Linked DNA regions of Mytilus edulis. The main gene of each other region encodes a partner of the protein of the gene in region 3 in a complex. Links are inferred from orthologs where the notes say so. Each region holds a gene or a part of one and is shown on either strand. Other genes may lie near its edges.

Region 1 (7,730 bases), on a different chromosome or scaffold from region 3:
CCAAAACAGACTTCCAGGCAAGCTTTTTAATGTCATCCAATCAATGTATAATGAAAACAAATGCAGAATTAAATTTCAAAATGGTATTAGCCATGAATTTATATCAAATTGTGGAGTAAAACAAGGGGATGTACTTTGTTTAATATTTATATAAATGGCCTTGTAAATGACCTTGATCATGCAAACACTCAACCAATTATTATAGGAGATGTCAAACTAACATCATTATTATATGCAGATGGCATTATTCTATTGTCTGAAACCCAAGAAGGGCTATACAGAATTAACTAAATTTTGTTCCCTATGGAAACTTGATGTAAACAAACAAAAATCAAAGATTATAATATTCAATTCTAATGGAAAATCTCATTGTAATTATTTTAAAGTAGAAAACGAACAACTTGAGACTGTTAAATCATATTGTTACCTTGGAATAACTATAAATTGTTCAGGAAGTTTAAGTCATTCAAAAAATATCTTATAGAAAAAGGAAGAAAGGCTTGGTTTAAAATAAAAAAAAACAGTCTCCTTAGATAATTCCTGCAGTATGCTTGAAAAATTATTTTGATACTTTAGTTGTTTCAATAACTCTTTATGGAAGTGAAGTTTGGGGTGTAAGCCAAGTGTTCAAAGATTCAGATCCATTTGAACATTTACATATGAAATTTTAGGAGTACAGTGCAAAACAACAAATGTAGCCTGTTTAGCTGAGACAAACAGAACCCCTTTGTACTTTATAATTCAGCTTTCAGCTATAAAATTTCTAAACCACATTGTGAACTCCCCTAACACTTTAGTCCATAAAATATATAATAATGTAGAGAAAACAAGTAAATGGGTTAACATTGTTAAAGACTGGTTAAATAAATTAGGTTTTGGTCATCTCACTTTTGATGCTATTAATTTAAAATATCACATAAATACTATCCAACAAAGAATCTATGACCAGGCTTATCAAATTATAAATTGCTCTATCAATAAATATGAAATTTAAATTTCTTTTGTCATACTAAAAGAATTAGAAAAAGGACCCCATATATTGATATATATGTAATCTCAAAACTGACCGATCAGTTTTCAGTAAATTTAAACTAAGTGCCCATTCTCTAGCAATTGAATGAGGGTTATACAAACATTGAAAGAAGTAAACGCATATGCTTATCCTGTAACAGACAAGAAATTGAGGATGAATACCATTTCTTCTCAATCTGTCCATGCTATACATCATTGAGGGAATCCCCCGATACCTATATACAAAATATTAATAAAAATCTTAATTTCAATTTTATTTAAATTGCAGTCTGCTATAACACTGAAACATTTGACTGCACTTTTAAATTGCAGTCTACCAGTCATTATAAAAATCACCATAAAGTATATTAATGATTGTTTTTTATTGAGAACATCTATATAGCTGTATTTCTTTTAATATGCAACCTAATTTTTGTTTGTGTTCTTTTTTTAATTGTTCATGAACATTAATAATGTGTTAACTGTTGATATTTATAGTCTTTTTCTTCTTCCCTGTAAATACCACTGTCATTCATATATAATTATAATCAATTTAACTATTGTCAATTTATACATAATGTCATGCCAAAACCACTTAATGTAAATGTGTTTGTGCTAATAAATATTGTCTATTGTCTATGAATTATGCAGGAAATTGATGTTCATCCCTCTACAGGAAGCTGCATATAGTGTGAGGCTTTCAGAATAGAGAATAAAGAACAAAACATTAAGAATAGAGAATGGAGAAAATTTGGCAAAAACATATAGGATAAAGAAAACTGAGACATGTTCATGATTTTAAAAACAATAGGATTCTAAAATATAAAGAATAAAGAACAATGACCATTTAAAATAATAAAGACTATATATATAGACAATTGGCCTAAACAATTAATAAATATGTATACAAATATGACAAATATGACAGTCTTCACGATGAACTATAAAAACTACAGGCCTGGAGCTCAATTTTTGAAATTTTTTTATTAGATTCTGTTGGCCTGTAGATATGATTTTTACAGGCCGAGAGTAATTTTACTAGCCTGGGCTGTCTCGGGTGCCACTCAGCGTGAAGACTGTTTCAAATATGGAGAGCATCATCCAGATCTGCATAAATTAAAGATCTTTTTCATCTGCACTCAAACTCAATGAACATACTTGTTCACTGGGTTAATCAATACCATCTGAAACTTTGTGAGTATGAAATCAAGGATGTGATAAAAATCCTTGATGAAATGAAATACATTCTTTTTTTAATTATATGATATCAAAGATTTGACGATATAAACTATGTTATAGAGCAGCAGTACGATGAAGAAAAAAAATCAGTTGGTCGAATTGTGTAATGGTCTATTTGAGTTCAATTGGGTAACCCATCACTCCGGACCTAACCAACAGTATATTGTATTGTATAAATTATATAGGAAGTAAATTACACATCATTAACTTCCTTGGTTTTTTAGTTGCTCAGTTTGTGCTAATGTTTTGTTTGTTATTCTTTATTTTATAAGAAAATTGTTCAATATGAAATGTATCAACATTATTGAAATCTATGATAAATAAAATATATCGTTTAGTTTTACACTTTATCAGCAAAAAAGGTTATCTTTGAAAACAGGGATATCATGTTCTACAACTCATTATTTATAATTTGTATGTTTTGCATTTGAAGGAAGACAATCTATGTACAGATTGGTAATACATGATGTTGTGAAATTTATTGATGATCACTTATATTCACTTTGCTAAAAGTCCAAATAAAACAGTTTGGGTATTCATTTTGAGGAATAAAAAAAGACTAAGGACAGAAACACTAAGCAAAAGTATTTTTTATCTTTGACTTTTACAAAACGTCATAGGCTACTGATAAAGGAGATATGTTATGACTGCAATTGATATATTTTTAAGATACATGAACATATAAAAAGAAGATGTTGTATGATTGCCAATGAGACAACTGTCCACAAGAGACCAAAATGACACAGAAATTAACAACTATAGGTCACCGTACAGCCTTCAATGGTGAGCAAAGCCCCTACAGCATAGCCAGTTATAAAAAGCCCTGAAATGACAATGTAAAACAATTCAAATGAGAAAACTAACGGCCTTATTTATGTACAAAAAATGAACCAAAAAAAATATGTATTAACACATAAACAAACCACAACCACTGAACTACAAGGTCCTGACATGTAGCTTATAATTTAACTTGAAATACATATACATGTACATGATGTATAATGTTAAAATTCATAGTTTCATTTGTTGATTGTACATGTATATTGAGAAAATTAGTATCAATAGCTTGATACAATAATTTTTTACAAATTAAATGATTTTTTTGCGGCAAAATTGTATATTTTATGCCTTTTTTATGTATATGGCTCTGATCTGGTTGTAGATTAACATCTAAGAAATAGTTAAATTCATATTTATGATTTGTGTCAACATTATTGTAACAATTATAAAAATCATTGTAATAAATTGTTTTGCTCTTCATGGGCCCTTTAATTGGAATAAAAATATCTTATCTTATATATAATTGTTCATTTATTTACAGCAGACAATAACTGACTGTCAGATCAATGAAAAATACATATTATATTCATTTTACCAAGGACTTGTACAAAAAAAATGTATATATAGTAAGACGATACAAATTCGTGATACTGTATTACGATATTTTCATTTATGCACTTTTGTTTCTTAACAGAACTACGATTTAGTCAGGGGCAAAAACTTGAGGCAAAGTAGCATAAAAAGGGATAATATACATGACACATTTTTTAGCTGGAGTATGGGGTGTGAAGTGCCAGTGGTAGTATATATACTAAGATTAGAAGAATGGAATTTAGAGTTATATATAGCCTAGGGGAAGGGAGTGGGTATATGGGGTAGGAAATTTTGGAATCAGGGGACCCACTTTAGTCCTCTAGTAGAGATTAGTAATGGGAGTACCTTCATGATGAATATAAACAATAAAAGTTCTTGCCAAATCACGTTCACAGTAATTTTTAGTGCATGACAATAAAATTACACTTTCTTTTAGGCGATCAAATATTCGACTAGCTGATTTTGACGCATCACTCTAAAAAAATAATCCAAAAATGATGTTAAAGAAAATTTTGTTGAGACATCTGACATCATGATAAGGATATTTTGACAAATCAAGGTAAAAGTTCAACCAATTTGACACTAACATGACTAACCACTGGTGGATCTAGAAATTTTCATAAGTGGGGGCCCACTCCTGTCACGCTTCAGTGATTCTCTATATAAGCAAATTTTCCCCAAAAAGGGGGGGTCACTGGTCCCCAGGCCCCCCTAAATCCGCCTCTGCTAACATGACTAACACTGGGTTACAGTAGCCGAGAATGACAGTTTGATGTCTGAAGGTAAAGGAAATTACTACCTTTCTCATAGAGTCTACTGACAATAAAATAAATATACATAATTTGTTTACTTTAGTTTATAAATATAAAAAAAAATTATGTCTGACTTTGTTCAGTGTAGCATAGCCACGCCATATGCCAAGCACTTTGATCAGCATTATGGTAAACATCTTAACAATCAATGAAGAATGCTGTTTAAACCTATATCTGTTATTTTTATACCTTTGTGTTTTTCTATTTGTAAATATTTACAAAATATATACAGAGCTATTTTCTGAGTTTGTCAGGTTTTTGTTATTGTCAATATAAACACTTCCTCGACGTTGCTCAATCGAAGTCGTTTGAACGCTTTCAGGTGGCAAATGCAAAGGAGAAACTTTTATTTGTAATTCGTTTAAGTAAGACAAATGAACAGCTGAAATGTCTGGTAAAAGACCAGCAAAAGGGAAAGGTAAAAGACCAAAACAAAAAATAGAACCATATTGCGATATCCGTCTGTGGATTAGTACTACGAAGGTTGACACCCCCCTTTTCTCTGCAAAATATTCCAAATAGATATTGCAATTTGACCATTTTGTTTTCTGATTGGTCTAAGAGAATGAGAAAATAGAGCCCTCAGTAAGGGTTCTGGAATTGGATAATTTGCTGAAGATGCAAAAAGTAGGAAATACATGTAAGATGTGTTCGTACCAACATTTGACAAATGAGCCTCTCAAATGTGTATAATAACCTTAATGCTATTTGGAAATCTGTGCCTATTGACCTAAGAATCTGTGCTGCTGGAACTATTGACGTCATAGCCCAAATAATTATGACATTTTGAAAAGCTATTATATTTTTTTTTCTTTGACGTATTACGTCTGTAAAGGTGCTAAAGCAAAACAATATAATACCAACAGCCTATCAAGACATCATAATTAGTTGGACTAGGAACATGTGTGATGTCCAGTAAAAGCTGACAATAGCGATAAGGTGCATTCATGCACTTTCTCCTATAAATATTCTACATCACAGTAAGAATTTGTTTATTAAATGACATCACTGCTCTTTAACGCTTTCGGGTTGATCTGGCCCCACGTCGATCCGGCCCCACGTTGATCCGGCCCCAACAAAATATATATTCATCAGGAATAAAAATAAAGATATATATATATTAATAGTAATTCATAAATGTTTATGATTTTTATTATAATGTAAAAGGTGTACGTAAAAAAAATAAAAAAGGCCTTTTAAAAATATTTTCTTTAGATGAGTATAAAACAACCAGTTTGATCATGTTTTTATTACAAGTTTTCAAGATAATGGGGTATAACTATATTAAAACGTATATAAAAGAATTCAGACATCAACATTAATCAGCAGTAATTAGCATTTTCTTTCAATTGACTGTGATCCCAGTGATGTCGTTAGAAGCCGGCAGCCGGCGATTTTCGCCGGTTATTGTCCTTTTCCTGCTGGCTATTTTTGCATGAGTAATAAAAATTAATAAGATAAAAAGGATAATCAGGTTAATATTAAAAAATAATTGTTCAATGCATCAGCTTCCACGATTAAACTTGCGATAAACAAGGATGTAAATGAGTGTTTATCTTTGACTAAATATAGTTCATGTAAATGCAGTCCGCTGATTGGTCGTCTATATAAAGTCGGTAAGTATTGTATGTTTGCAAGGATAAAAAGAGAGACGTTCCGATGGACATTATGACCCTGTTTGGTTTTTGCTTCAAGAGAAGGAATAATGCAGCAACCATTTGATTTTCTGGGGGGGAGCTATGGGTTTTTTTTCTGGACAAATTTTTTATTTCGCCTGCGGCCAAAAACAATCTATTTTTTTCGTGACAAGTCGAAAAAAAAAAATTTCTTTCAATTTTAGCATTACATCTAGTGGCAGCTGAGGGTGAAACAAACAAATTTTTTTTCTCAGAATCAACATTGATCAAAAACAAATTATTTTTTTCTCCAAAAACTGGAAACAAACTTTTTTTTCCAAAAAAAACCATAGCCTCCCCAGAAAAGCCTCTGATGTTACCTGAAAAAAAATACAATTACTTATAATTATATACACCAAACAAAAGAACAAACAATAAAGACCTTGTTGCTTACGTAACTTTGATTAATCAATTAATTAATTAATTTAATCAATTGGATTTGATTGAATTAAGTGATTTATGAGTGACATTACCTTAGTTCACAATCATTAGACAATTGTTGAATAAACAAACCAATTATATATAGACTAATTATTGACAAATGATTTGGTTAAACAAGACATGATGAGTTAAATTTTAAGGGTTTCATTGGACTGTAAATATTTATTTCGCTACTCTGTATGAGAAGTAAATAAATTCAAATTCATCATGACAAAGATGACATTCAAAGTCAACATGGAAAATATCTTCACATTTTAAAATATGTTGGAGCTGCTATACAAACAGACACAACAACACTCAGTTTCGTATCGATTTAAAATAGTTCTTTAGTTTAACTGGTACTCCAATACTTCACTTACCTGTTGTCATCCATCATCGACACTTTTTGCAAATTCCGTTTATACTGTTCAAATTTGTCAAAAATTCCTCCATATAGTGAGCATATTTTATTCATATTTTATAATCATGATAATAGGGCCGGATAGACGTGTGCTGGAACAACTATGGGCCGGATTGACTTTGGGCTGGATCAGTTTTGGGGCAGAATGACTGGATACCCTCTTCAACTTTGTACTTGTTTGGCTTTATAACTATTTTGATCTGAGTGTCACTGATGAGTCTTATGTCGACGAAACGCTCGTCTGGTGTATTAAATTACAATCCTGGTACCTTTGATAACTATTTTCATGTACACAGATTGATTTTGCCAATCAATAACTGTTACTCAGTCCTATAGATTTGTTTAAATTGTAAACCAACTTGAGATTTGTGTACATGTATATCCACAATCCTTAATCTTAATGTCTGATGGCACTAATTGTTTCAAATGTGCAATGGTGCAGATTCACTCCTTCGTGTGTTATGCTTAACCGATTTTTCTCTCTGTGCATTTAAAGGGTTTGTTTTTGTTAAGATTGGGATTGGGGAACAGTTGTATCAAATCTGCAGGATAATTTACCACTGTTCGTAGTTTGGGTTTCCCATCTAAGGTCTATGGTTTTCTCCAGTCACTCCGGCTTCGTCCACCATTAAAAACTGGCCCCCACGAAATAGCCTAAATGCGGTGCTTAAAAGTGGTGTTAAAACTGGCTTGAAGAGAGAATTCTTGTTCATATATGCATATATCACACTGCATTGAGTGTGAAACCAAAAAAGTATACACTAAAAATATGTTAAC
Region 2 (7,840 bases), on a different chromosome or scaffold from region 3:
ATGTCTTTTTGATCAATTAAAGTCATTTCAATTGAATATTTTATAGCGTCCTTTTATGTTGTAATGTTACAAAATTGTCTCAGACAAGGGTGAAGGTTGGCACCAGTTTAAACATTTAAACATATTGCATTTTCAAGCACCTGTTTTTAGTCAGGAGTCTGTTGTTCAGTGGTTGTTGTGTGCCGTTGTGTTTCAAAGGTGTTTCTCCTTTCTCTTTTTAATATAAATCATAGTTGGTTTTCCTGTTTAAATTGTTTTACACTGGTCATTTTGGGGCCCTTAAATCTAAAATTTGCTGTTCAGAGTGAGCTAAGGTTCTGTATTTAAGGCTGTACTAAGACCTTAAATTGTACTTTTTAAACATTATGTCTTGGAAGGAGAGTTGTCTCATTTGCACTCATACCACATCTTCTTATCTCTATTACATAGATATAAAAAGAATTGGTATGAGTGCCAATAAGACAACTCTCCTTCCAAGTCACAATTTATAAAAGTAAGCCATAAGGTCAAAGTATGGTTTACAACGTTAATGTATATTACCTGCTTGTGCTATACACAATACATCAGATACTTCTTCAAGGTAAACAATGCTCTCCAGTAATTCTGATGACTTGAAATAAAATTCTGCCTTGTTTTCTTTCATCTGAAGCAATATAATATTGACATTGTAATAAAAGTATAATTTTTTTCATTATAAACGCTGGTTGCCAAACACAATAACATAGATCATGTAGATCTACTCTCATCATCATTTTTGAAGCAGAAACTAAACAAATCTGGTTTATATAGAAACTGCATTGTATTTCTTTATAAAACATAATTTAATTTTGGATGTAACGTGTCTTCTGATTGGCTGACGTTATTTTGTTATCAGCCCATAGACATAATTTAGTCATGTGATTGTGACGTCATCAACGTTTTTTCATGGTTTTCTACAGTTTAAAATGGAATTTAGAATTAAATTATAAGAAATGACTGTAATATTTTTTCTGTCTATTCGAAATAACCTAAAAAATGTGGTGCACACTGTTAAATAACCTGCTACGCGCGTTATTCAGTGTGTACCACATTTTTTATGTTATTTCTTCATAGACAGAAAAAATATTACAGTCATTCCTTAAATGTTAAAAATTGACAGTCTTCAACCCTCACTCAACAGTATATACTGGTATACTGCATATTCTTTATTATTCATTAAATACCATTTTTTGTGGATTTCGTGGGTACAGTTGAACTATGAAATTAAATTTTGTAAGAATGATAAATGTTCTTTATGCTTGTATGCAGACTTCGACAATACCATGAATTTTTAAAAACATCCACAAGTTTTCGTTAATGCATGAAAATTGATACCTCCCTCTGATTCTCATACATAATGTTGTTACTTAATTAAAACTTTTGATGTCTTTAATGAAGTTGAATATTCACAATAGAATAACATTGAAAATTCAATGTTGATTGTTTAACATGCTCAATTTACAAATGATAAGATAATTAACCTGTGATGCTACAAAGAGAAGTTCACTTAATAGCAGACGAATTCTACGAGCATGGTCACTTCTTTCAAACTCCATAGCAAGCCCACACTGTAACTGAGATATCAGGACACTGTCAGTCTGTGATGTACCAATCTTTGTCCTGCAAGGAATAAGGTAAAAAATTTAAGATTATTATCAAGGAAAAAAACAAATATGTCATCACTTCTGAAGGTATGGAGAGTTAATCTGGAAAACAATTTGCTCATCAATACTTACATGTACAATAACTCTTTTATCATGTTTATTGTGGGGACAAAAACTCCAATTGCAGCAGGAAAATCAATAATAAAAAAACATCAATGTACCTATGAACTCAAAATCATGAACTTTTTATTTTCCCGCATTTGTGCAGAAATGTCTTTCTTTCTTCTGGTCTCAATATTGTCATGAGACTGAATAAAATATACATGTATGTTAATTCATTTATTGTTATTGAGGAACATGAGGAAGGAGCAGAATAACAATTTTGTTTTTATTAATTCTTTGTATACAATGAAAATGAAGTCATAACTTAAATGATGCACAACTAAAATCCCTAACAGGGTTCTCGCTAAGGATTTTTGAAGGCGAGTCCAGGGACTCGTCATTTTTGGCCATGGTGAGTCCAACAGCAAGAAGAATATATTTTATTGCAATATAATGTAATATTTTATCCTCCATGGCCTAACAGAGCAATGAAATGACATTAAATTCAGATTACTTTTAAAACTTTTGCTATAAAATGATGATCATGATGATATTTGTGTTTTACTGTGTTCAATTTATACAAAATATTTCAATATTGATGCATCTTTGGACTCACTAGTTTTGAGAATGGTGAGTCCAAACAGATTTTGATGAGTCTAGGACTCATGGACTCGCTTTAGCGAGAACCCTGCCTAACAACAGGACCAACATAGGAAACTGTAAGATATTTTCGTTTCTTTTTGAACAGATTTTTAAATATGTTTGAAATAAAAAAAAATGATTAACTTTATCCTCTTTCACGGGTAATGCCTGCCTCATATTATTGCAACGTGATTGTAGCCAGTGCCTTACTCAGTAACTCACTACTGTTTTTAGGGGTGTACCTGAGCTGTTGTTCTTTTTTAACGTCTTGTTCTAAAGCATGGAAATCAATAGATAGCAATGCCACAATGCCATTCACAACTTCTATCCCAGATAAGATTTTTAAGACTTCTTTTTTAGCTTTTGTCCAGTTGGAGCTCTCATCAAGTGGTTTACACAAAGCCATTCTAACAAGACATGGAAGAACTGGACGCAAATCAAATTCCTTCGAATCACTCAGTGAAGAGATGTCAACATCTCGTACTGCTCTGAAGATTTCGGGTTTAACACTACACTTTAGATTCTGCATTGTTATTGCTAAACCTAAAAAAATGTAAAGGATTTACAAAAATTTTAAAAGTCAAAATTTTTTCATGGGGGCAGCCATTTTGCTTTCTCAACGTCAGTCTGACGCTTTGTTGTAATTGCGTTTCTTACAAGCGCGAAGAAGACATAGATCATATTTTTGTTATGGCTGCAGCTGCAAGACAGAATTCCTCCCATGGTAAAATAAGTGCTAATGTTGCTCTAGATAACAACAGACCCCAAAATAAATAGTTCCCCTCTAACCTTATAGTTCTGTCATGCATATTGTTGTTCATAAATACTTATCAATGCCAGAACAATATGAAAAGCAGTTTGAAGTGGATACAAAGCTTTTCACAACTCAAACAGCAAAAATACATTAATTCATTCAATAAATATATTTTATGACCCTGCCATAAGGTGGCTAAGGCTGTATAGTTCTACCCTTATCTGCCATTTGGTCATTCTACTACAAACAGTTATACACATACATGGGTCCAGCCTTTCTCCTAAACACCAAATAATTGGTCAGATCATATGTTATTGTATTCATATATGAGGGTGGTAATGGGGATACCTTCATGACGAATAACGATAAAATTCTAGCCAAATTTAAACGTAAAAGGTAATTTTAGATGCATGACGATATTAAAATGTATACTTTCTTTTAGGGGATAAAAAAATCGACTGATTTTGACGAATCACGTTAAATTTTTCTCAAAAATGACGGTAAGGATAATCATTTGACACCATTGACGAATCACGGTTCACCATAAGGATATTTTGACGATTCACTGTAAAATTTTAACCAATTTGACGCTAACGGTAGCTGGAATTGAACATTTGACGCCTGATGGTAAAGGCCATTACTACCCTTATATGTAGTTTTTCTTACAAGGAGAGACAAGATGGAATAGAACGTAAATTATAGCAAGATCAGCTGAGCAAGATGTTTCCAGAAAGAAATTTTTTTATAAATGGGGTCATGAGGATTGACATGATTGAATTTACAAAGAATGGAAATCATCTTTTGGGGAAAACACTGAATATCATTAAGAATGCTGTATCTTTTAAATAAAAAATAATTTCTTTTTCAGAAGCAGATGAAAGAGTGAGATTTCAGACAGAGTTAGAATTTGTACAATGTTTGGCTAATCCGAATTACCTTAATTGTGAGTATACAATGACAGTAAAAAACCAATTCTAATTGAGAATGTGTCTTTGGGACAGATGATGCCCCATACTTGCATATAACATTGTAAAGTGACATACATCCACAACTGTTAAAGTGACAACACCTATATTCTTAAGTTAGAGAACGGAAACAAACTTAGGTATGTATCGATGAGCAAGGGCAACACTGAATGTCAAATGTAAAACCTTTTTAGGTTGGATGACATCTACTGTTAATATTAATTTGTAACTGTTAATATTCTATGTTAGATGCTCAGTCATTTGCAACAAAACTGCCCAGATGACAATAATTAGATATCTCAAAAGTTTATTTTTAACATGAAGATATATTTTTTTATATTACATGAAGGAATACACACTGACGATTTGCCACTGATTTAAATACATGTAATACAAGCTTGGCTACAATTTGAAAAAAGTTTGTTTGCATAGCAAAAGAACTTTTGTCCTGCAATGTACGTGCCACCAAAACTGGCAAAGACCCCTTAAAGAGTCATGAGAGTTGTTACAAGAATTCTTTAATTTTCAGTTATTATTTTCTCTCCCAATATGAGCCATGTAATTTTTTTATCATTGATTTATTAAGATTGCAATTGCATATTTTATCCTTGTTATGTGTTGTGTGAACAGTTTTAAGTTAACAGAGCTGTAAAAATATACTGTTCAATTTTATTTTTTTATAGTTTTAGCACAGAGAGGATTCTTCAAAGATCAGACATTTATCAACTACCTTAAATACCTGCAATACTGGAAAGAACCTAAATATGCTAAATACCTCAAGTAAGTTTGTACAAAAATGTACAATAGTGAATTTTTGTAGGAATCTTGTTATACTGTAGATTCATTTATTTTTGTGTATTCCAATTTTTGTGGATTTTTATGTGTTCCAATTTTTGTGGATTTTTTTATGTGTTCCAATTTTTGTGGATTAAGAAAATCTTGCATTTTCGTGGCTATTTGATATCGTGATTTTGCCAATACAATGTACATCCTTATACATGTTATAGAAAATCTGTAATTCTTTGAACATTTATACTTGTGGTTTATCTGTACCCACGAAATCTTCAAAAATTAGTACCCCACAAAAAAACAATATATCCACAGTAGTAGATATTTTACGAAAAAAAAAATAATTATAAATTCAACAGAAAAAAATTGTTCTCATTATGACCTGACATTTACTTGCTCAATGCAGGATATGAATGAGATTTTCATTTCCAGAAGTTGACAGATATGCCTTGTACAGTACACACAAGGAGTTGCAAATTCTTTATGACGTTATGTTAAATGTTCATGTTACAAGTTGACAAATAAACACTGTATGAGTTATGATACACCAAGCAATATCTGCTTTAAAGATTAAGACTTTCCCATTGTATAACTAGTTTGTAATTATCTCTTGCAATATTTAATTTGTTTTCATTATTTTTATTTCATTTTCAGATATCCCCAATGTTTACATTTATTGGAGCTGCTACAATATGAACACTTTAGAAAAGAATTAGTGAATTCACAATGTGCTAAGTTTATAGACGATCAGCAACTCTTACATTGGCAGCATTATCAGAGGAAACGCATGAAGTTATTGATCGATGAAGCGGAACGACACAAACAAGATCAAAAAGATAAAACTAGCTGACACAGCAATAATAAATGTGTTGATTTAAAATTAATCGGTCAGAGATATTCTCTGAATTGTAATGGCAGCTATGTGGATGGTCAAAATTATTGTCATCTCTTAAACATCCAAAACGAACATTTTTATGTGTAAAATTTTTCCGAGGTTGATACTTGTCATAGACGTAACATGTACATGATGTATTTAGCAGGAAATTTTTTCATCTCTGTTCATAGTTTTTAGGCAGTTTTATAAACTGTATAAAATAAAGAGATGTTGTATAGAGATATTGTATTTTCATTGAACAGAAGTTTCTTTTTGATATCTGTTCCAAACATTTCCCAAATAGGGCCTAAATTTATATATTGTTTGTTTCCCCAATCCCAATCCTCCGCAGCCAGATATGGGTAGGTACATGTAGGTAGCGAAATAATTTTAATTTTCCAAACAGTTTGAACATTATCGGACGATCAGGTAAGCCTGAAAATCAGAAATGAATAAAATAATATTGGACTTAGATTTGACAATACAATTTTATATGTAGCACCACATTTTCAGGGTCAGTCGGGATTGGGGAAACAAACAATATTTTATTTTTAGAAGAAATATTAAATCTAATGTGAACAGATGATATAGCTTTATTTATCATGTTTATAACCAAGTTTCCATACAAATATTTGGCAGGCACAATATTTACTCATTGTTGAAGGTAGTACAGTGACCTATAGTTGTTAATGTCTGTGTCATTTTGGTCTCTTGTGGACAGTTGTCTCATTGGCAATCATACCACATCTTCTTTTTTATAGAACAAATATATGTTAACAGTATGACTGCCAATAAGTCACCTATCAAGAAGTGTAAAAAAGATGTTGGAAACTAGCTGTGTTGGTCACTGTTCCACCTTCAACAATAAGCAAAACTCATACTGCATATCATGCTTTTTCAGGCCTAGATTTACTAGTTTGTATTGTGGCTATACACTGATTTCTGAAGCTCTCGTCCAGGTGTTGGATTTTCTTGATGTGTTGAAGACCCATTGGTGGCCCTAGTCTGTTTTCTGCTTATGGGTAGGGTTCTTGTTTTTTTGACACATTCCCCATTTCCATTCTCTATTATATTTATTATTATGGTTTACATTTGTCCATTTATTTGTCATCTCTCCCATGAAATTTCTCTTTTTCCTCTGAAATTACAAATAAACTCATCATAGATACCAGCATTAAAATTTTACACTTACGCCAGACGCACATTCCATCTACAAAAGACTCGTCAGCTTTCTGAATTTTCATGCATAAATCATCTTAAAAAGAAGATGTGGTATGATTATCAATGAGACAACTCTTCACAAGAGACCAAATGACACAACTAGTCAGAGAGGCTTGAATAAAAAGAGTTACCAAGACCAAAGGAAGTTGAAGAGCAGTGATTTCAAAATGTTCTGCCAATTTAATACATACCAGAGCCTAATCATCTGTATATAAGATTTGTTCCTGTTCTTTATACTCAGTAATGCAAACTATATACATAATGGTTTACTTTTACAAATTATGACTTGGATGAAGAGTTATCTCATTTGGCACACATCTTCTAATATCTATATATAAACATTTGAGTGATAATATTGTTAAAATAACTGAATTACAAATTACAAGTTTTTTTGGTTTTGCACTGAATTGGGATGGAAGAAAGATAAAAGAAGATGCGGTAAGATTGCCAATGAGACATTTCTCCACATGAGACGAAAATGACACAGAAATTAACCACTATAGGTCACTGTACGGCCTTCAAAAATGAGCAAAGCCCATACTGCATAGTCAGCTATAAAAGGCCCCGAAATGGCAATGTAAAACAATCCTAACAAGAAAAGTAACGTATTTATGTACAACAAAATGTGTTTACAATTTTTAAAGTTCAAGTAGAATTAAAAAAGTCACGTCTATTTTTCTCACAATTGAAATAAGGAACTTCCTGTGGATCTGTATAAATAAGTAAAGTGCTAAGAGGCCCCTCATGGGGGTGTCCTAGTAATCACATAATTACAAATGTTTTGCCAATATCACATAATCATTATGGTTTTTTTTTAAACAAGATAATTAAAATTACAGTTACATTTTATAAACTAATAAAATGATCATGA
Region 3 (7,522 bases):
AAAAAGGATATCTTCACAATTGGTTGGGAAATGTGAAAAAAGTGAAAGAATTTGGGTACACTGACCTCTGTATAACAGGAAGTGGTAAGAATTTTAATATTTCTTTAACATCAAGTCCACAATCTAACATCAGTGTTACACCTTTAAAGTGGAGTATAAAACATGGCTTGCTTGGATTGCTGGACAAACACGACTGTAATTAAAAGAAAATATCAATATGTATGTTATATGCTGATGGATTATCAAATTCATGTATATTCCATGACAAAACTTGACTATATCACTTTCTTGAATTTTTACATTGAAATCATGTTGTTCCAAAGAAATTAGTTGTCTGGGAAATGTTTCTCAGAATAGTTTTTTTATCTTTTACATGTTGCAACCGTTCTGTATTTATTTTGAATTTGGGATGTGTTTTTTTATCACCACTCAGTATTTTATTCATTTGAATTAAGGAGATCAGGTATGAACACTGACACTAGGTCAAGTAAATAATTTGAGAATAAATACATATACATGTATAATGTAATTTTATTATTCTTTTATTCACAATATATATGTGGTTTTTAGCTTGATACTAACCAATGCTTATATTCCAAATATATATGTATATGTCTCTATTATTGTTGTTGTTACCAATTATGTAAATCAATTGTATCTGATTTTTTGCCCTTTATGGGCCCTGTAATTTGGGAAATAGAAATATTCTATTCTATTCTATTCTATTCATTCAATGATTGTCGGAGTAGTTTTTAAAAAATACTTGTCAATATAAAATTATAATAAATACAAAAACTTATACCCTGCACCCCTTTTTATATTTTAGAAGGTGTTCTGATTTGGAACATCTTTTTTATTTCAGGGGAAACAAGTATTATGCAGAATAAATATATGTTCTCGTTTCTTGTTTTTTATATAGACTAGACCGTTGGTTTTCCCGTTTGAACCGTTTTATACATGTCATTTTTGGGGCCCTTTTATAAATGTTATAGCTTGCTGTTTGGTGTTAGCCAAGGCTCTGTGTTGAAGACCGTATTATGACTTATAATGGTTTACTTTTACAAATTGTGACTTGGATGAGAGAGTTGTCTCTTTGCCACTCATACCACATCTTCTTATATCTAATTACCTCTCTGTTTTTTTAGGCTCTCATGCATATTTTCTTTAAAAGATATTTAGCATAATATATAATGTCTTTTAATGTTGTCATAATTTCATTTAGGTGTTTGACCTTTTTATAGATACATGTATGCCTGGGTTTTGAAATTGACCATTAACAATGATTAATTTTGGTAACTTATCTACTTGTAGGAGTCAATATTTGCAACTTTTTAATTCAGGTCAAATATTCCTTGCTCAACACTAACCATGATAATTGACATATTGAAATACCAGGGGTCAAATTAAAGCTTTTTTGTGTACTGGCCAGTTAGACCAGTGGACTAAAAAATCTACTGGTCCTGCAAAAATGACATTCATTTGACAACCCCTTACATGACTATACTGTATAAATGATAGATTTTTACTTTTTATTTTCATGCTTTCTTTTACATATGTTAGACAGGAAAAAGAGAGAATCTCAATCCCGTTTTTGATAAAGGCTTTGATAATCTCAAAGCTTTTCTTTATGAAAATCAGAATCAATGACAGAAAAAATGTCAACATTGTCTTCCACATCATCACAATCCTCACGAAGACCATAGGGTGCCTGACTGGGTCGTCTGGAGCGCTGCCTAAAAATGTTCCACATTTCAATAGCTGGGACATTAACTTTTATTTAACAATTCACAATTTCTTCCCAGGATTATTTATATTTCATTTCCTTTTGTCAATTTCATAAACTTTATTTCAATCTTCCTTTTGAATGACATTTATTTATTTTTTTGTCCGGCAGTCCTTCCAAAAACTGATTTCCAGATAAATTTGTTAGCAAACAAACCGAAACTGCGATGCAATCAGGGATTTTTATCGACAAATTTCTACTGGTCAGCTGTACCACCAGCTGACAAAATCTAATGGTCTGACACAAATTCTACTGGTTTTGATTCACCGGACCAGCGTCAATTTCGATCCCTGTATTGAAGTCATAATTTGTCTTAAATTAAAGGGAGACGAATCTTGAAACCTACAAATTTAGACCTCTATGAGTCAAAAGCAGATTTAGACTAACATATCATGTTTACGTCTGACTGTTTATGACAAATGACAGTAACCATGGTAACAATTCTTGAAAAAATGACATTAACAGTAAATTGTTGGTGCAGATAAAACAAACCTTTTCTTTTTGATATATAAGAAAATCAAAAACTTTGTTTAAACGAATCAAGCTTAATTCTTTTCTACATGTAAAATAATGTTTTCATACCTCTGACAAACCACTATAAGGATATTTTGATAAATCACAATAAAGTTTTAACCAATACACCTTATCGCTATTTGTCCGCCATTACTGGATATTACACAGGTTCCCGTAAAAATTTAACGTCACAAAACAAAATATCTGACGCCACAATGGAAAAGTGATTGTTGTATGCGTCAAAAGTTCAAGCGGCCGGGTCAGCCTGGATTAGCGATAAGGTGTATATGATGATAAACGGTAGTCAGAAATTACTGTTCGACATCTGACAGTATTAAGGGGCATTCATATCTTCATCTTGTTCATTTTAGACTCAGTGGTCCATATAATTATGACGTCTTGAAACATGTTGTGAAAAGCTATTTCTTTTTTATTTGTGACACCTTCTTATGTCTGAGGAAGGTGTCACAGAAAAAGAAATCAAAATATACCTTTCCAGGCGTCCCACTATCTAATATGTTTTTATGAGGTTGTTATTTATATTTTTTTACATGCTCCGCAAAGGTAGTTTGATATTTAGATTTGAATTAAAATATATATTTTGTTTTTGATCTGTAAATCAACTTGCCAGCTTCATATTTTGTCTTCCAGTCAATGTGTGGTTCTTTCACTTTCGAGGGAAAATCTCGCGTCAGTAAAGTGTTTTATTTGGTGAGAAACAGAATTATAAAATGAAGATCAGAATCAATTTAGCGCTTTAGAGAACAACTTCCGGTCAAAGTGAAAGAAGAAATTGTGCTTGTTGATATATATTTTCAAAATACTTGTTAGGTGCACAAAACAAAAGGTTTGCGACGTTTTAATAATGGTTCATGCTCTTTGTTGAATAAAAGAAGGTGGTAATTTTTTGGTAAATTCAATACAAATTCTCCTAATCTGATAATTGAAACATGTGAAATAAACACTGATAAGGTTCATCATAACAAATGGACAAATATGGCAGAATTTTTAACTCAAAAATTATTCTGTGTGCAGACTTACCTGTGCAGTTTGTAAAGTTTTAAGGCCTTATATTAATATGAGGCAGGAATTACCTGTATATGGGGATGAAGTCTGTTTTATTATTTTTTTAATTCAAACATATTGATAAAAGAAACGGAAATACCATAATGTTTCCGATATTGGTTCTGTTGTTCATGTTGTTAGGGATTTAGTTGTGACGATACTTAAGTTATGAAGTCATATTCAATGTAAAGAAAGAAACGCTGTCAACCAGGTAACGTTTTTTTCATATCAAACAATTATAAAAAATGATGGGGTGTTGAATTCCTTCCTATATTTGTTGATGTGTTGATAAACATACATTTTATTCAAAGTCTCATGCCAACAAGACCATAAACGGAAGTAGATCTGGAAAAAAAGTTAACGATTTGGAGTTCATTAGTATGTTAGTAGAATGAAAAATTCGGGAAATTTTCCCGAAAATTTTAGATTTAAAAAAAAAAAAATTTTAACTGTAATTGGGGACTTCGTCCCCATATGATTAAAATATGCACTACTAGAACACTACATGTATTACTATTTCTGAAGTAGTTTGAGCCCTGTTAAGTATAATTTACTATTGTGGTAAGTGTCTGGCTGCAAAAGGCATGCCAAATTATTATTGCATCTGAACCTTGCCATTCGGATGGTAGAGAGGATGAGATTTACTGGTCAGCGTGCACACTTTTATCTTCATTCCATTTACTCACAGATGGGGAAAGGTAAAGGAAAGTCTTGTCACCCAACCTCATCTCTTCTATTCCTTGATAACTCTTTGTTGCCTTTGTTTCTTTCTCTTGATTGTAGAACTCAACTCCTATGTCACTTTTCTACAAACTTTCTATGTTATGTATGTCTTTGCATGTATAATAACAGTTTAACAGCCTATTTTTCTTAGTGCTTTGATATATATCTGTATATTTAGCTGAGTGTTGGTGTATTAGTCTACTTATCATGCTTATATATAATAATGAGTTATGATGAGTTACAGCTCAAGATACATTTGGTTAAGCACACTGAATTTCGATGAATAATTAAGGGCTTTGGATTGAAAATACATTTATCATGTTTATACAGACTTTCTTTCTCAAATTTTCACTCCTAAAAATGGCTTCAAACTTTTTGTGCAATTAAGCTGGCCATTCAGCACATTGGTTTCATCATGTTCATTATACAATTTCAATGTACAGACTTATTTTTTGGGAGCAATGCCATAGCTTAAAGATTAAGATCAATAGGCAAATTAAATTACACAAGACACAATATAGAAAACTAAACACTAAGCAACATGAACACTGACTAAAAACAGCTCTCAAATGGAGACAAATTGAATTTAGGAAGAACTCCTCAGACATATGTGTGTTCCACACTTATTTAGTTTTGTATTTGTTGTTTTCAGATCATGGCAAGTGTTGATGATACACTTCTGGTGAGACATCTCCCGTCACAGCTCTCCAATGGAGACAAGGAAGAACTCCTCAGACATTTTGGAGCAGTTAGGGTCAAAGTGATGGGCGTTAGAGGAGCAATGGTGACTACTTAAAATATATAAATATATTTACTGTAAATTCTTACATTATTACAAGGTTTATATTAATGCGAATAATGCAAAAACCTGAGTTTCCCAATAATAAGAACACACATACTTATATAGAATGCATATATCTGTACATTTGTATGTAGCTTTTCCTATTGATAATATTTATTAGTTGAAAGATTTTCCTAGATTTTTTTAATTCTAATAAACTCACCTTTCATATACTGTGAAAGTACTTTAATTCGTGGTTATCAATTTTCGTGGTTTCAGCAATATTGACATGTTCATGGATTTTTAAATTCATGGATTTAAGTTTTCTAGAAAGAAAAAAAAATTAAATTTGAAGCTTTTAGAATAGACGGTTACACTTACATGACTTACATTTGTAGTCTGGATTGAAGGAAATTGCTTAGTAAACATTGACCCTTATAAATCTTAGTGACAACACTAATTAACCCAAGATAAAGTGATCAACAAATTAAAGACCATCAAATGTGTTAATTAGGCCATAAACATGTCACCTAAACATGCTAAAGAAAACAGTAACATGAACAAATGCTATAAACATGATAAACGTATCTTGAATTGTAAAATAATTTTTATCAAAATCCAGCCCAGCATGAAATTTTTATTTCCCATATGTACTAGAACTATGAGAATATAAAATGAACACTTTATCAATACCGGAAATCTGACTTTCATCAATATAAATATTTTTATGAGAATTAAAAGATCAAAAGTTGTACAGTTTAGGTTATTAAAGATTAAATGGATATAATCCTGCATGCAGTTGTAGTTCATAGCTAGTGCATTTGCCCTGTGACTACTATCATAGTATTTTCAGATTTGGCGTTATTCAATATATATCCTCTGGATCATATATAACAGTAGTCAAACCTACATGGGTATCTTTCCATGTCTTGATTTGGACAATCGTTGTTTTATTTCGTTGGATACTTAAACTTGTGGATAAAGCCATCCTCGAAAACCACGAAATTTGGTACCCCACAAAAAAAAATACTTTCACAGTACATGATAAAGACACATGATAGATGTCAAAAATGAAACACTATAATGATTTTGAAAGTTTCAATAAGACTTTGGATCCATGATTTCACACTCAAGTAATTATAATAATTACTTTATTTAGGAAAAATAAGTTAGTACAATACATGCAATACTTATCTCCCCTGATGCCCTTTAATTTGAATATCTCAAAATACAAATGTATAACAATAATATAATTTATACTGCAATCAGCTATTTCACTATTCAGATAAAGCTATACGTATAAACGTTAGCTTTATACGTCAATGACCTCAACTAACCTATAAGCCCCGCCTTCTTACCGGAACTACTGTATTTCATCAACAACGTCACGTCACAACCAGGACAATGTGTAGTAACAATGGTCAAACTTTTATGAATTTAAACTTGTTTTGTCTTCAAATTGGTAATTTATATACCATGTTTATTAAATGTTATTATTTAAGTTCATTTTTCTTTCTAATTCCTTAAAATGTCAATGTCCTACCGCCTGAACTACGGTCATAGGGAAATACCCCAAAATGGTACCCCAAGAGGGAAATTCCAAACACTTTTTTTTTTACAATATTTATTAGGCCACGGTTTTTTAATTTGTTGGTTTACGGATTTTCCCCATGAAAAAGTCGGGTTGGTCGGTCAGGAAAAAAAAGAAAAAAAATCATCTTTGAAGACAGAAAAATATGCAAAATCAATATATATTTCACCTTTCTAACAATATGTTTGTTATGCCATTTTATCATCATTTCTTAAATTTTAGTTCAATGAAATATTATTGCTCAGCTGTTATAAACATCGCATGACATTGTCTAATAAGTTACAGTAAAAAAAAAGGGGGGTGCACGGACAAAGATGAAATTAAATCGTCATTTCAGAAACAAGAAAAATAGATTCGTGTAGCTCTTAATCAATTCCAGAAAACTTGGTGAATAATGATCTTCAAGCACGAAAACTGATAAAGAAAAAAATGTAAAAACGTCGTACGAAAATAAGTTTCAACACACGTGTCAAAAACCTAATAGACTCGTCCATTGGCAAAACGAGATTATCGGGTCAATCTGTTGTCTCGCATTCCCGTTTTTTATCCAAATGGACGATAATTTTTTTATTATCTATGAAACAAGAAAATTCCAAAGGATTTGTTAATATTCAATACTTCAACTTGATGCCTTCAACCTATCAACATTTGGACAAGTCTATTTCTATGAGATGATGCATCTTACGGACTGATGACAAATAAGGAAAACGAACTTATTGTGTAATTGGTTTTAAACACAAGTTTCGTTCCGCAAAATTATTTGTGCAAACGACATTTCAAGGTCAGTTATTATGATAATTGATTTGTCTATATTTAAAAACGTAAACTGGAAGTTTTATTTTTTCACAACAGCAAGTGTTATCAATTTTGTTAGTGATTAATGCATTTCATTTCATAAAAAAAAATTATTTTAATTATTTTTCAGGGATAATGCATTTCTTAGGGTCGGCGGGAATAAAAAAGCATGAAAAGTCAATTTTATTTTTATTCTGGAAATCGGCAAAATCGGGTTGGCGGATCCGTAAACCAACAAATTAAAAAATCCTGGCCTTACATACTTTTTTTT
Region 4 (6,944 bases), on a different chromosome or scaffold from region 3:
TGCATCAGAATCAGAATAAATGTTCTGTAGGGTTTTATTCAAGTGTAATTGTTAATACGGCGAAATCAACAACCGTTTACACATAGGTTACGATACATGTGGATTTACGTGGGAGGCATATTTAAACAGCCATTTGTGTACATCTTGGAGTCTGCGCTAAGTATAGATATATCGAGAATTTTATCACGGTGTTGTTTACAAAGCGAAAGAAGCACGTCATATTAGAATAGTATCTAAAACACAGCCAAACAAGATTTTGATACGACCGCAAAAATTAAAAAAAATTTGGTCGTATATTGGTATCACGTTGGCGTCGTAGTCAGCAACGGCGTCCGAAGACTTTTGGTTTTCGCACTATAACTTTAGTATAAGTAAATAGAAATCTATGAAATTTAAACACAAGGTTTATGACCATAAAAGGAAGGTTGGGATTGATTTTGGGAGTTGAGGTCCCAACAGTTAAGGAATTAGGGGCCAAAAAGGGGCCCAAATAAGCATTTTTCTTGGTTTTCGCACTATAACTTTAGTACAAGTAAATAGAAATCAATGAAATTTAAACACAAGGTTTATGAACACAAAAGGAAGGTTGGGATTAATTATGGGAGTTGAGGTCCCAACTGTTTAGGAATAAGGGGCCCAAAGGGTCCAAAATTAAACTTTGTTTGAATTCATCAAAAATTGAATAATTGGGGTTCTTTGATATGCCGAATCTAACTGTGTATGTAGATTCTTAATTTTTTGGTCCCATTTTCAAATTGGTCTACATTAAGGTTCAAAGGGTCCAAAATTAAACTAAGTTTTATTTTAACAAAAAATGAATTCTTGGGGTTCTTTGATATGCTGAATCTAAACATGTACTTAGATTTTTGATTATTTTCTCAGTTTTCAAGTTGGTCCAAATTTGGGTCCAAAATTAAACTAAGTTTTATTTTAACAAAAAATGAATTCTTGGGGTTCTTTGATATGCTGAATCTAAACATGTACTTAGATTTTTGATTATTTTCTCAGTTTTCAAGTTGGTCCAAATTTGGGTCCAAAATTAAACTAAGTTTTATTTTAACAAAAAATGAATTCTTGGGGTTCTTTGATATGCTGAATCTAAACATGTACTTAGATTTTTGATTATTGGCCCAGTTTTCAAGTTGGTCCAAATTGGGGTCCAAAATTAAACTTTGTTTGATTTCAACAAAATTGAATTCTTGGTGTTTTTTGATATGCTGAATCTAAACATGTACTTAGATTTTTGATTATAGGCCCAGTTTTCAAGTTGGTCCAAATTGCGGTAAACTTTGTTTGATTTCAACAAAAATTGTATATATGGGGTTCTCTGATATATGCTTAATCTAACCATGTATTTAGATTTTTGATGTTTGGGCCCGGTTATCTGATTGGTCCACATTGAGGTCTAAAGGGTCCAAATTTGAACTTTATTTGATTTCAATCAAAAATTGAATTCTTCGGGTTCTTTGATATGCTGAATCTAACCATGTATTTAGATTTTGGATATTGGACCATAATAGGTAATGTCCAATTTAAAATTTAAAGTTTTAAAGTTTAAGTTCTTAGACCACATTCATCATGTGTCAGAAACCTGTGTTGTGTCAACTATTTAATCACAATCCAAATTCAGAGCTGTATCAAGCTTGAATGTTGTGTCCATACTTGCCCCAATGTTCAGGGTTCGAACTTTGCGGTCGTATAAAGCTGCGCCCTGCGGAGCATGTGGTTTTGTATAGTAAGCATCATCATTTAATACCAGCCTATTATTTTAAACTAAGACATTAAAAAGCTTCATAAAGACATCCAACCAACTTCAATTGTAGACGAGACTGTCTCATGACGTTATTCAATATTTACATCCTCAGTTTCTCGGCTTAGAATAAAAAAACGTATGCAGATTTACTACAACTTGCATGGCCGCATTTAAGAACAATTTAAGTCCAAACTGACAAATGATTAGGAATAATACAGTATTCAGGCCTCAAATATAACACACCTTTACACAGTGGCGGATCCAGGGGAGGGTTCCGGGGGTTGGACCCCCCTTTTTTTGACGATCAATGCATTTGAATGGGGATATATAGTTGGACCCCCCCCCCCTTTTTGTCCTTGGTTGGGACCCCCTGTTTACAACATATTGACGCAACAGTTAACTAGTGTATATCATTCATCTGGCAAAACATACAAAAATAGCTACAAGCCTATAAATTGCTTATCAAACGATAGTCGGACAAGCAATGTGGTATACTGTTGCACTCTTTGGGACCCATGCACATCAGAAAATACAATAAACATTCATATTGAAACAAGTGCGAAGAACAGCTACATGTTATCCCGGACACAAATCATTGAATGATTCTTGGATGCTTGACTTCCAGTGGCAAATATTTCAATACAGATCGATATTAGTTCACAATTGCTATGCTTTACAAACTCTAAATGTCTACCTCATAAATCCTTCAAAAAGGGAGATTAAAAACAAAGCTTCAAATTCTCATATAAACAATATACAATTGCTATACCAACAATCCTTTCCAAATGCTAATCCATTCTTGCATATAAGCCCTTCAAAGTGAAAATTTCATATCATAATTTGAGAATAAAACCAATTTCTGAATAAATATTGTCAAAAAATGCACAATGGCGGGATGACGCTTGAAAAATGTGCGTCGATGTATCCTCCTAAAATTGTAATACTTATATGCTTATAAAAGTCGTCATATCTATATGTCCAAAGGTCAGTTGAAATTTAAAGTCGAAATTTCGAGTACGTTTATAATCGAAATTTTGACGTCGAAATTTTTAAATATATAAAAGGCAAAATTTCAAGTTAAAGTCAAAACTTTGTGAAAGGAGTAGGTCCATTAAGACCCCCTTTTGGCCCCAAACCATAGCAGTTTTACATAATTTTTAAAATGTAAACTTTTGGCTATTTATTGGAAAGTAGAATGCTTATATTACATAAATATGGGCTGTTTTTTGACAATACAAATGATGCACATATATCGGATATTAACATCATTAAGTCATCGGATAAATAACTGAAATCTTATCAATTTTATAATTTGAGTTAGATTTTAGACGGTTTCCGTCTTCAAATGAAAGTGGCCGCATTTGTGTTCCTTTTTAATGACTTTTATTATGTTAGTTTCATTTGATGATATTACATAACATATACAAAGTTTGAGAGTGAACGTGATTTGTGACAAAACCATCTGAAAAGTGACTGACCAAATCAGTTCAAATCTTTCACATAAACTAATTGAATCGACTGAAGTAGATACTTAAGTGTTAAAAAAAGTGTCCAAATTCTTTCCGGGCATCAGATGAACCTGAAATGTGAGGCCATAATCGGCCCTTACCGGCGGATCTGACTCCTTTGACTGAAAGTTGAAATTTCGAGTATGTCGAAATGTCAAAATTTCAACTTTGTTAAAAAGTTCACCACGGATTCTTTTTGAAAAAGTTGACCCATCTCGTAGTGAGTTTAACATACGCTATCGTTGTTGAATATTTGTGTCACTTGGTTTGTTTCCTTTTCTTTTTTTGGCATTTCGTAACCGTGACCGGTCAGTAAACCAGCTGCTTAATTCTAAATGTTCTGTGAAGTGATTTGTTCATTTTCGTTTTATGTTCAAGAAGCTCTATGGCCCTATAAATGGATTTTTCTAGAATCAAAATCAAATCACGTAATTTATAAATTGTTTTCTATTTCGGTTGGATATAAAAGTGAAATATTTGTCACTGGACGTCACACTATTAACCAATGTATTTTTATCTTTCATAATATTGTGCAAATTCTATAGACATGGTACTTTGAATAAAACTTTATGATTGGTTTACAATATGTTTGATTTTGTTTGAAAAGATATTTTCATAAAATGATTAACACCACTCCGCTTGCTGTTCATCTCAATCTGAACGTAACCGTTTCGGGGTTTAGAAAAGTAACTTCCGGTTTGTGGAAATTGTAAAAAAAGTAATTTATCTGTTCATCAAATGTTACTGTTTTGCAGTAAATGTTAGTTTAACTGACGTATTTATTACTGACAGTCACTTCTGTGGGTAGATTAATAGCAGCATTAACATTATCTAATCGGTAAGTCTAGGATAGCATTATACAACAACAATGTTCAGGCTAACTGCTGAGGCTAACTGTTACTCACAGGCACTTGTTTCTGTCAATATGATTATCAATATGGGGTTTTCTATATATGTAAATCCCATATTGACAGAAACAAATGCCTGTGCTGTTACTCACATCTCAGTTATAAAATAACATGCAATAAATAGAAATTTTCTGAAGAAAACCATAAAATTGATTTTTATGCATTTCAGGAAAAAAAGAAAAAAAAGACATTATGGTATTCATGGAATTTACTCATAGAATGACTTGTTGTTACGCATACATGCATATACAGGGTTCTCGTAAAGACGCGTATACACATTCTGGATGCATGGCAATCAGTGGCGGATCCAGAAATTTTCATAAGTGGGGGCCCACTGACTGACCTAAGAGGGGGCCCGCTCCAGTCACGCTTCAGTGATTCCCTATATAAGCAACCAAATTTTTTCCCAAAAAGGGGGGGCCCGGGCCCCTTCCCCCTAAATCCGCCTCTGGCAATCGAGCAGGATGCATAATTTTTGAAACCCATGAATTCCTGGGACGCGTCCTGATTGTATCCCCTGAGTCCCAAGATGAGTGCTAGGAGAATAGTTAAACTTGATATATATAATTTCATCTACACCAATTTAATTAACATCTATAGGCGAATCCAGGGGACCCTTTTGGCAAATTTGGTTGCTTATATAGCAGCGTATTCATTAAGAACCGATTGCCGATTGAAATGGTCGTTTATAATCAAATTCCCATCGGTTGTTTTTCTGATGTCAAAAAAATATAAATCGTACTTTTAGTTTTAGATCGTCGGTCACTATCTAGGACAATCAAGAGAAATATATAACGGCATTTCTGATTGGTTAATAAAATTGAATTTCCGGTAAAATAGATCCTGGTTGTTGATTTCGCTGCAAAGTACTATAAGATTTTGTACTGAAACCAGGAAAAGGATGCATTCATAGTAATAACGAGATTTTGTAACCAGTCAATAGCATAGTCAGAGAAATGAAAATAATTTCAGATTTTTTTCAATCAACAACAAAGTGAAAAAAAGTTTTGTTCTATGACATTTGCATTCAAATAATTGAGACACCCTCCTTGGTCATGTTCATGAAAGTGCATGATCGTGGTCCTACCATGAAATGAAAAAAAGAGCAATGTCTTGTCTCGTAAAAGCAGACATCACATTATTATTTTCATTAAGTGATATTCACTTTCTTGTTTTCAAGTGATAGAGCCTCTTAACAGCAGACTCTTTATTTTTACCATAAATCATAAATCATATGTTTACCTGTCCCATGGCCTTTCTTTTGAAATGAAAGAAAAAAATGTAGAGATAGCTCGTTTGCATGTCATTGTGTAGCTTCAAATAGAGTCATAAATACTAGGACTAGGAGCATGCCACCACCTGACACAATCATGCCCTGACTAACCTGATCCAAGTAATAATAATAAAAAGTGAGGATGAGGATGAGGATGATGTCTCCCTATGATTATAAAGAAGTGTGAGTCTTGCATTATGCATTCAAGGATGTACTTTGACCAGGTTCTGGAATTTCTGTCAGATGTTTAATCTCTGGGTTTTCCCCTATGATACAGGGTAAAATATTTTGACCTATGACCATGATAATCCCATTTTTCCTTTCTTTAATAAAAGACTTCAATTATTAACTCACAAAAACTCATTTTAATACCAAAATGTAAGCAGATCTTAGATTTCTTTCTTTCCTTTTGTTTGCTTCTTAACTAATGCTCTTCTGAATTATGGTATCAATTTTATTTGATTATTGTAATTTCACCAAAGTGCATCCTTTTTGCCTTTAAACAACAGTCCATTGAATTCATCATTTGATTTATTGTGATAAGTATTTGAAATTATTAATACTGAAAAATGTTTTCTATGGGTTAGAACTATTTGAATAATTGCATGTCTACAGTTAAATTAAAAATATTTTCAACTAATAAAATCAAATTTAAATCTTTTCCTGAATGATCACCATGTCTTACAGAGTCATGCCTTCATTATTTTCCTCAAAAACCTGCAAACAACTTCAATAACTTGTTAGCTGAAAGTCTTGATGATATGTGATCAACTTTATAGAAAATATGACCATCTTGCTGCTCATTTACCTTATCATCATTAAAAAAATGGTGTTTGCGAAGAACAAAATTAGAGTTCAGGAGCCCCCCAGGGTGCAGGATTTTGCACCATTTTAAAAAAAAATTCAGACCCCTCGCCGTGAAGGGCAACGAGCAAGCTCGTCGCGCCGAACGGCTACGCCGTCCGCCGGTGTTGCCTGCTACTTTTATTATTTAACCTCCTACTTTAAATCTTATTGACAACCCTGTATAGGGAATCACTAAAGCGTGACTGGAGTGGGCCCACCTTACAAAAAGTTCTGGATCTGCCACTGATTAGAAAAGGGTGTAAAGGAGATGGGGTTAATTTGTAAAGTTATTCTATATTTTTTTGGGGTTATTTAAGTCTAGTATAAGTATCTTAATCATTACTGGACCAAATGTCCAGTTTATAACTAAAAAATCACCAATAAGAACAAAGAAAACTTCTTTTACTGAGTTTATTATTAAATAGTCAATTAACATTCCTCCTCCCCCACCCCAAAGAAAAAAAAAGAAAAACATAACCTACCTTTAGACCCAGTCTTTTATATGGCAGTCTGGCTTTGGCAAACCAACATTTTTTTAAAAATGTGGCCATACACCAAGAATTGATATATATATATATTATGAAAACTACAAATCCGACAAGCATCGTTTTAGTTTTATTTCGTCATATTTCATTTTATTTAGACACAAAAAATTA

Evidence for each region.
Region 1: integrator complex subunit 9-like (region 3) and integrator complex subunit 1-like share a complex: the UniProt entries of both Homo sapiens proteins name them as parts of the integrator complex. The link is inferred for Mytilus edulis from reciprocal best matches to the Homo sapiens genes INTS9 and INTS1.
Region 2: integrator complex subunit 9-like (region 3) and integrator complex subunit 2-like share a complex: the UniProt entries of both Homo sapiens proteins name them as parts of the integrator complex. The link is inferred for Mytilus edulis from reciprocal best matches to the Homo sapiens genes INTS9 and INTS2.
Region 4: integrator complex subunit 9-like (region 3) and integrator complex subunit 12-like share a complex: the UniProt entries of both Homo sapiens proteins name them as parts of the integrator complex. The link is inferred for Mytilus edulis from reciprocal best matches to the Homo sapiens genes INTS9 and INTS12.

The regions. Positions count from the first base shown.
Region 1 is NC_092352.1:85,422,428-85,430,157, reverse strand, and holds the start of integrator complex subunit 1-like, read left to right. Parts: upstream 1-4,710; 5' UTR 4,711-4,823; coding exon 4,824-4,854; intron 4,855-7,730. UniProt on the Homo sapiens protein: Component of the integrator complex, a multiprotein complex that terminates RNA polymerase II (Pol II) transcription in the promoter-proximal region of genes.
Region 2 is NC_092349.1:27,278,475-27,286,314, forward strand, and holds the start of integrator complex subunit 2-like, read right to left. Parts: upstream 3,017-7,840; 5' UTR 2,896-3,016; coding exon 2,609-2,895; intron 1,639-2,608; coding exon 1,500-1,638; intron 644-1,499; coding exon 541-643; intron 1-540. Other genes in the region: mediator of RNA polymerase II transcription subunit 31-B-like, read left to right, coding at 3,057-3,090, 3,989-4,063, 4,769-4,865, 5,529-5,724. UniProt on the Homo sapiens protein: Component of the integrator complex, a multiprotein complex that terminates RNA polymerase II (Pol II) transcription in the promoter-proximal region of genes.
Region 3 is NC_092357.1:9,158,440-9,165,961, forward strand, and holds the start of integrator complex subunit 9-like, read right to left. Parts: upstream 3,028-7,522; 5' UTR 2,934-3,027; coding exon 2,925-2,933; intron 194-2,924; coding exon 66-193; intron 1-65. Other genes in the region: RNA-binding region-containing protein 3-like, read left to right, coding at 4,740-4,868. UniProt on the Homo sapiens protein: Component of the integrator complex, a multiprotein complex that terminates RNA polymerase II (Pol II) transcription in the promoter-proximal region of genes.
Region 4 is NC_092350.1:30,145,106-30,152,049, reverse strand, and holds the start of integrator complex subunit 12-like, read left to right. Parts: upstream 1-3,934; 5' UTR 3,935-4,099; intron 4,100-6,944. UniProt on the Homo sapiens protein: Component of the integrator complex, a multiprotein complex that terminates RNA polymerase II (Pol II) transcription in the promoter-proximal region of genes.